2 linked regions of the Daphnia pulex genome follow. The protein of the gene in region 1 binds, or shares a complex with, the protein of each later gene. Links are inferred from orthologs where the notes say so. Each region holds a gene or a part of one and is shown on either strand. Other genes may lie near its edges.

Region 1 (4,104 bases):
ATATGGATCTGAGCAACAATAGAGTGAGTATAAATGTTGAAACACTTTTCAAATTAATTATTTAATCATTTAATTTCTAATCTTACCTTAGATTGAAGATGTAAGTGAGCTAACTAAAAATCCCAGCTACAGCAGAGTGACTGTTTTATATCTAGCCAATAATCGAATCCAATCAATTTCAAGCTTGGAGGATTCTGATTGGATCAAACAGTTTAGTCTGTTAAGTCTTCAAGGAAACCTTCTAAAAGAAGTAAGTTCAATAAAGTTACCTCAAAATTTTAAGGTATTCTTATCTGCTGTCGAGTTCAGAGGAATGTTGGGGGATTCTATAATGCTTAATGGAATAAAAATTGACTAGCTTTTTTTTAATATTTTATTTTGCAGATCCCTACAGATGCACTGAATAATGTATTTCATCATCAAGACATCAACGGCGTTCGCATGCTTCTTAGTAACAATCCCTGGAAATGTGACTGCATTACCATTACCCAGTTTCAGGTAATTTTATTTGATTTTTCAATTTTAGTAATTGCTATACGAATCACGTATTCTTTTTTAGTCGTTTATTGCCAAGCACAAACAGCTGGTCAAAGATGTTAGCAATGTCACGTGCGGCCCAGCAGAAGGGGAAAGCGCTGGCAAAAAGGTAATTGCGGTAGAGCTGACCAGCGTTTGCAGCACTGTGGGAAACAACGCTATAAATCTAATGGATGTGTTAAATGTAATCTTGGCTCTTTTAACTCTGGCTACCATCGGCAAACTCCTTTATGACTATTACGCTTATCGCAAGACGGGGCAACTACCGTGGATCGCTAGCAAACTGCCATAAGTTTGATTAGTTTTTTTTTTAAACAAATATGTCAAAAAGCTCTGGTCTATCCAAAATATTAATTTTTTACACGTGCATGCATAGAGTATAACCATTTCGCGCTTGCAGCTCAATTGTTTCATAAAATTTTGTTCTACTTCATGGTACAAATTAAGTTTTTATTCTTTTGCAAAATTTTGTGACGTATTTACTTGTTATTTGTTGCTCCAGCGGCCAGCGCCTTTTTACCGGTTATTCATTCGTCAGTGTCGTGTGTGTCTATTTGTTGCCTCACATCTTTCTTGTCAATCAAAATTTTTTTTTAACATGAAATAATACAATTTAGTCAGCTGGCGACTGGTATTTTAAAATCAGTGTTTGAAGTTTGATTTTCTTTATTCTTGTTCTTGTTTGATGTAAAAGTTTCAGGTCTGATATTTTTAAAAATTTGTTAACAAAAGTTGTCGAATTTGGCGCTAGATGGATTTGTTTGGGAGATATTCCGTCGTCTGCTGCTCAACACGTTGTTATTTCTGAAAAGTTCATTCCTTCGTTGCAATTTAAGATTAAAGATTTGAAGCTATCGAAACAAAATGGAAGAAACGACACCAGATAATATTGCAAAAGATAAAATAGCTGAAACAGCCTTGGTCTCACGAGCCAATCCCGACAGAAAAGTGTATGGTGCGACGACAGGAAAAATCAGGGTTATGAACCAGATTCCAGATGACATACTGAACGATAAAAAATTAGCAGCAGCAATCGAACTTCTTCCAAGTAATTATTCCTTTGAAATTCATAAAACGGTACGAGAAGTCATAATTAGTATCATCACTTGGCAAGCATTTCTGTTCATGTCAGCCTTTTTGTTCAGGTGTGGAGAATCCGCCAAGTTGGGGCTAAAAGAGTAGCTTTGCAAATGCCAGAAGGGTTGCTCATGTTTGCTTTGACAATCTCAGACATTATAGAAGAGTTTTGTCAAGCTGAAACTGTGATAATGGGGGATGTTACCTATGGAGCCTGTTGTGTTGATGATCGAACAGCCATAGCTCTAGGAGCTGACTTAATGATTCACTATGGACATTCATGTTTAATTCCAGTGGATCAGACTAGTGGAATCAAAATGCTTTACATTTTTGTTGATATAAAATTTGATTCACAACATTTCATTGAAACAATTAAGCTTAACTTTGACAAAGAAACCAGATTGTCATTTGTGAGTACCATTCAGTTTGTGGCCTCACTACAGAGCTTGGTGATGCTGCTTAAGAGTGAAGGATATATTGCCAGTACACCCAAATCTTCACCATTGTCGCCAGGCGAAATTCTGGGCTGTACGTCTCCTTCAATAGACACAGACGTCATCATTTATCTTGGAGACGGAAGATTTCATCTTGAATCGGCAATGATAGCGAATCCAGATTGCAGAGCATACAAGTACGATCCTTACAATAAAGAATTTACGCAAGAGTTTTATGAACATGACCAGATGAAGACCAACAGAAAAGCAGCCATAAACACAGCTACAAAAGCCTCTAGATTTGGTTTAATCTTAGGGACACTGGGCCGACAAGTAAGAATATTCAGCTTTATATTTTCTAAGATGTTTGAATAATTATATCTGTGTATAGGGAAGTCCAAAAGTGCTGAACGAAATCAAAGAGAAAGTGCTGAAATCGAACAAGGAATTCGTTACCATATTGATGTCGGAAATATTTCCGTCCAAACTAGCGCTTATGCCCAGCGTCGATGCATGGGTTCAAATTGCATGCCCAAGACTTTCAATTGATTGGGGTCTTGCTTTTGCCAAGCCACTCTTGACGCCTTACGAAATCAATGTGGCGCTGAAAGAGGTGGAATGGAAGGACACGTACCCCATGGATTTCTATGCCTATGAAAGTTTAGGAGCATGGACACCCAATTACAAACCAAAATGTGAAAAGAAAAAAACTGTCGACAGAAAATGAATTGTAATTAATTTTTCGTTAAATAAAATTTGAAAGTTATTTAAAAACAATTTATCATCCTGCGGCACTGCACATTTAGACAAGTTACTCACTTACTCTAGCGCTGACATCGACAAATCCTTAATCTTATGTCCTACTGTATGTTTTATAAGTAAATAACATATTTGCCTTTCCCAATCGTAAGATTTACTTGTATAAAAAATTGCTGCGAAGTTCCAAATTACCCTAAGGGTTTCTTACGGTGCGGGGTGGTTAGAGTGAAAAAGGCAAATTTTTAACCAGTAAGATTGTGTGGTTTGTGTAGAAATTTTACTTGACATATAAATTACTATCTTATTTGTTTGTTATGTTTTTTTCCGATTATTTGCTGTAACTTAAATTTTCATTCTATAGTAGGTCCTCTTCTGCACTTACCTCTCGCACTTATTTTCTTGGGGAATGGGACCTAGGATCGCTAGGATCACCCGACTGTACAGCCCTTCTGTTAGTACCTTGCTAACGCAGGTAGATAAAAATTTTGTATTTTCCCTCTTTTTATCCTTTTTGTTTTGGCCACTAGATGCCAATAGGTGCACCTTTTAGTTAATATATCCGCATCTCTCTTTCTTATGTTCAAACCGAGAATATTACGTTTATGTATAACATTGATCGACGAATTCATAATGTGAGTTGAACACAGGATATTGAAATTTGAAACATTGATTTATTTCATATGTTCATGTTCATTTACTACATAATTTCTGTCCCAGGCTTTATAAAGTTCTTTCAGGGCCTCTTCGACTCATTCGATGTGCTTGACAATTTCTAGCAAAAATCTGGTTAATTTAAAATCCGATAAACTTTCTGCGCGCGCGCGCTTTTCTCCCACTAGGACTGGTCAGTTTTGAATTAAAAACTAAAAACAGTTTGACATGTAGGCTTGCCTGATTCACGTGAGTAATATGGGTTCTCCACTACAATTAAGCTCCCATGAAAATTACTATCGAAACACGGGATTGTATCTATTAGAAGTAAACACACATACGTGGTAGGTGCTCCTTCGGGTGAAACAAAAAAAATTGTATCGAAATAAGAGCTAGTGTTTCCAACCGCAATTGATCAATGTCACGTGCAGGAAAACCCCTAAAGTCTGAAACTACAGCAAAAACCACAGCAGCAAAAAAGTTCTTCTACGAAAAAAAAAGGTAAATTTTACCTTCTTCTCTTTCTGTATTTTTCTTGTGATTCATCGTCTTCCATGCATGTATAACTTCCTGGTAGTTCGTTACGAAATTCGTTGCCATCATCTCGTGGCTTAATCTCTCATTTACATTTGAATTAGTAGGACAC
Region 2 (4,582 bases), on another chromosome or scaffold:
ATCTTTTATGCTGCAATTTTAAAAGGTAGTAATTTTTTTAATAATAATTTTAAAAAATCAAGAACTGGTTTTAGAAAATTTTGGAAAGCGTGAAAGTGTTGAAACAAAGAATTAAAAAAAAAAAAAAATCGTTGATTTATCTGTAGGGGAACACGGTGGCAATGTCGCCATTACAGACGAACTTCTGTACCGGGATCGTGAGCGTGGCCTATATCCGGATTTTTTTGACAAGCAACTTCTAATAAAGGAATCTTTTTTTCCAGTTTGTTTTGAACAATTTATCAGGATGAGTTTACCAGCATTTATCGATTTAACGGTCGAAGAACAGGTTAGTTTCCCCATAAATTTAGTCCGGTAGATGCTAAACTGTTGTGGCGATGAAGTGTGGAGTCTGCCAGTAGCGTACACCTTTCTGTGTTATAGACAATTTTCCCTACTAGTATTTCTAATTTTTATACCTGTTTTACCACCTGGAGAAAGCAAATAACTGTTATATAGTACTGAGACAAAATTTAAGACATCAAGGCTTTGAATTGGTCATTGTATTCATATCTGTCTTTTTAGGCTACTGAATTGTGTAGCTATTTCAAGGCTCTTGGAGCATCAAATGTGGATGATGATCAAAACTCAGATCTTAGCAACATTGTTGCTGTTGCAGATCTCTGTTTCAAAGTAAGTGACAATTTTATTTCAATTAGTAGTGTGTGTTTACACTATTTTCTTCTTTGAAGGAGGGCAATGAAGTGGAATCTGAGGGAGTCTTGAATAGCATTGTATCTATGCTCGTTCTTCTCCCCAATGAAAAAGCTGAACCAATAATTACTACGTTTTGCCAAAAGCTTGCAAAACCCCCCTCAAACAAGTTGGGACTTGTTTGTCTGAGAGTGTGAGCATTTGAAATTTGAAGTTTACATAATGAATTGTCTAACTATAATTTTGATTCTTTAGTCTGTCTGTACTATTTCATGGGCTTGATCCTGTGAGTACAACGCGTTACACGGTCTATCACACGCTAGTCCAAGTTGCTGGACAAGTGGAACAGATGAAGACAGTGTTCACGGATCTAGATAAAATGCGTACTCAACTAGGGCCATGCAAACCTAACAACGAGCAGATGCAAAAACTCCTCCGAAGTTTACATGAAGCTCTCCTCAACTCCAGAGAAAGGTAAAGTATTGAAGTTAAACAAATAATTGTAACAATAAATCAAACCAGTGTTATTATTCAGTGAACTGGCCTCCAAAGTGATGGTGGAGTTGTTGAGCACTTACACGACCGAAAATGCTTCACAGGCTCGTGAGGAAGCTCAACGCTGCATTGTTGCTTCATTGGCTGATCCCAACACTTTCCTTCTCGATCATTTATTGACTTTGCAACCTGTGAAAGGTTTATAAAAATTACTTTGAAGTTAAATCAGTTATTAATTAATTTTTGTGTACAGTTTTGGAAGGTGCCCTTTTGCACGATCTGTTGACCGTATTCGTGACGGAAAAGCTGTCAGCTTATTTGAAGTTTTATGAGGAAAAGAAAGATTTTGTTGAAGGACTAGGTATTTACTGGAAATTTTTAAGTATTTTTTTAAGAATTTTAAGTAACAATGATTTTTAGGTCTGAAACATGAGCAGAACCTTCGAAAAATGCGAATTTTGACTTTCATGCAGTTGGCTGAAAATTCCGTAGAGCTCCCTTTCGAAACGCTCGAGAAGCAATTACAACTAACCGAAGATCAAGTAGAGGAATTTGTCCTTCAAGTCCTTAAGACGAAATTGGTGCGCGCACGAATGGATCAGTTGAACAAGAAAGTGCTTGTTTCATCAACCATGCATCGGACATTCGGCAAGCAGCACTGGCAGCAGTTGCGTGAGTTGCTGACTACTTGGCGAGGCCACCTCAGACAGGTCAAAGATTCCATGCTAACCATCGTTAACGAGCAAGCCGAACTTCTCGCTCAGCAATCCTGAACCGATTAGAGAAGAAACAAAAGACTTCAAATTATCCCGCTATCCATCTCTATTAAGGTTTTGTGGAAATAAACGATGACGCCGGCACATTATCTGACAAAATCAGACTTTGATCATTATTTCTGTTTTGTTTCCAACATACTGTTGTTTGAAAGTAGGGTAGGAGATAAAAAAAAAATTCTTTTTTTATTATGCTTATTATATGCAACGTGTAAACGTGAGTTAATTCAGGTAGTCTGATTTTTGGCCGGCAGATGTCTCTTTTTCTCACGTGTTGTCTTTTGAAGATCCACACATTTTTGTTTCAGTAGTTGAGAAAAATCTTTTATTTATTACTCAGAATTTTTGGTGAAAATGTCTGTCTATCACGATGAAGTTGAAATCGAAGATTTTGAATATGATTCGGACAGTGAAATTTACTTCTATCCTTGCCCTTGTGGAGATCGGTTTGAAATCACCAAAGTAATGTGACGTCCCCATTCCTTACTCAGATTCCAAGCTTATTAAAAGGTTTACTTTTATTTCAACAGGAACAGCTAGAAAATGGGGAAGAGGAAGCCACATGTCCGAGTTGTTCACTTATAGTAAAAGTAATATACAACAAGGTATGTATATGAGCAAGTGGAAGTTCTGGAAGCAACTGGCTTTCAGCCTGTATAGCATTACACAATATGTCTAATATTTAGTTTTAAAATTTACTTACATTCATGAATGACATATTTATTTAAACATACAGGAAGAATTCATGCAGAGCGAGGAAATCACGTATTCATCCCCAAATAAGAAAGAGTCACTCACAACATAAACTAGTTATTTTAGTATACTTAAGTAGGATTGAATAATTTTCAGAAATTGCATTTTTTTGTGTATTAAATTTTGTCCATTCTAAAATTTGCCATGAAGAATCACAAATGAATCTTGTCATTTATCATTCTTATTGCTTCTTTCACGATTGATCTGTCCAATTGAGCTTGTGATCAATCCTCTACTGTTAGGATCTTCTTTATTCATTTCCTTTTGCTTTTCTTCTATGTCTTTCATGAACAACTTCCTAAAATGAAAAACAATATTCAAATATCTCCTTTGCTGGAATGAAATTGAGATTTATCAGTTCTGTACTGAGCAAGTCTTTCAATGTCTCACCGATATTGAAACCCCATGTAGAATGTTCCCAAAATGAATCCTTATGAAGAAAACAATTTTTAACCAATTACTATTCAATGGCTTTGTAATTAAATTTACCAAAAACGATTGGAAATCGAAGAAAAGCAGCTCGACTCCTTGACGAATTTTTCATTTTCATCAGTACCTACAATGTATACTGTATACAATTATGGGTAGATTGTTATTATGAAGTAGTTTTTGATCATGGTCGTGGTCGACCATTTGGAGTAGAATGATCTGTGCGGCATCTAGCGAGGACTTCCTAACTTGAAATTTTACGAAGGTCTCGGGAATTTTCAATCGAATTAATTGAACGTTATTTAATGAACGTTTACGTTTCGGGAATTAATAACTATTACTGATATAGTGATTAATGTTAGAAGTTAAATGAAATTAAACTATGTTTAAAATAACCATTAGCTTAAGAGAGGTTGACTTTGATTACCATTACCATGAAATAAGAATTTTATCACACTGTAGGATGATGATGATAAACTTAAGAGAATGTGTCAATGTGACAATTTCTTTCCACTTGTATTGTAACTACTAGGATCAAAGGAAATAGTTAGCCATGTTATGTTATGTTCTTTTGCTCATCAGTTTCAATATTCTCTATTGGTTCTATGCTGAATTTAGTTTCTCTGCTGCTAGTTTTAAACATTTTGAATTTGCCTTCTTTTGCAAGTTCCTTCATCAAGTCATTATACATTTGTTCCTATTGTTAAGAGAAATGATTAAATATGATAAATTTGGTACAGTACTATTATGAATTTTCCATTACCACTTTTTTCTCATCTTTTGAAACATTTGAGATGGATGCTTTAACAAAATGGCCCTTAGAAAGCCATTTCCTTATATTGTTTAATTTTGCATCCAAGTCATGCTTTTCAATTTTATCTTTAAATGTAATCATCTTGGGAGACTTCTTCTTAAGTTTGGCAAATCCTATCAAACAAAGCACTCAATTTTCATCTGACCAGTATGTAATTGAACTTCTTTAATGTTTACACCTGAATACCTTCATCATGGAGTTGGGAATCAATTGAAGAAGAATAACGACGAATTAATTCCAACGAACCTAACTGGATAGTATTTACTTTTGCGTGGGGGCGAAATTGATTTTTAGCTGCAAGCAAGGTAAACCTTCGAGCTTGGCTTATAACTCGACTCATGGTTAGAATTGCATCACATACAGGGACAGTCGTTCATATTTAAACTGACCTCGATATTCGAGCAATAAAAGTATAAAATCTTTAGCAACAACCAAATGGCAAATACAAACTTAAAGTATCAAAAATAATTTTCTACTCGTTAATCGACTTGTTTTGAAAAACAAACGTCTGCTATATGGAACGCCAAAGTGACGCAAAATTAACTGCTTGAAATTTACTGCAATTCACCACCGCCGTCTAGCGGGCGGACCGAAAATCGTCGTTTCTCTGCCTCTTTTGGGGAGG

The links. Proteins that work in one complex are often made in the same cells at the same time.
Region 2: 2-(3-amino-3-carboxypropyl)histidine synthase subunit 1-like (region 1) and DPH3 homolog share a complex: the UniProt entries of both Caenorhabditis elegans proteins name them as parts of the 2-(3-amino-3-carboxypropyl)histidine synthase complex. The link is inferred for Daphnia pulex from reciprocal best matches to the Caenorhabditis elegans genes dph-1 and dph-3.

Annotation. Positions count from the first base shown.
Region 1 is NC_060028.1:7,506,115-7,510,218, reverse strand, and holds the start of 2-(3-amino-3-carboxypropyl)histidine synthase subunit 1-like, read left to right. Parts: upstream 1-1,304; 5' UTR 1,305-1,401; coding exon 1,402-1,614; intron 1,615-1,682; coding exon 1,683-2,381; intron 2,382-2,439; coding exon 2,440-2,775; 3' UTR 2,776-2,778; intron 2,779-3,168; exon of another isoform or gene 3,169-3,171; 3' UTR 3,172-4,104. Other genes in the region: protein singed wings 2-like, read left to right, coding at 1-23, 92-250, 385-498, 560-829. UniProt on the Caenorhabditis elegans protein: Catalyzes the first step of diphthamide biosynthesis, a post-translational modification of histidine which occurs in elongation factor 2.
Region 2 is NC_060019.1:9,157,578-9,162,159, reverse strand, and holds DPH3 homolog, read left to right. Parts: upstream 1-2,210; 5' UTR 2,211-2,315; coding exon 2,316-2,423; intron 2,424-2,491; coding exon 2,492-2,566; intron 2,567-2,697; coding exon 2,698-2,766; 3' UTR 2,767-3,246; downstream 3,247-4,582. Other genes in the region: eukaryotic translation initiation factor 3 subunit M-like, read left to right, coding at 287-328, 565-672, 732-886, 949-1,167, 1,229-1,386, 1,442-1,549, 1,609-1,961. UniProt on the Caenorhabditis elegans protein: Required for the first step of diphthamide biosynthesis, a post-translational modification of histidine which occurs in elongation factor 2.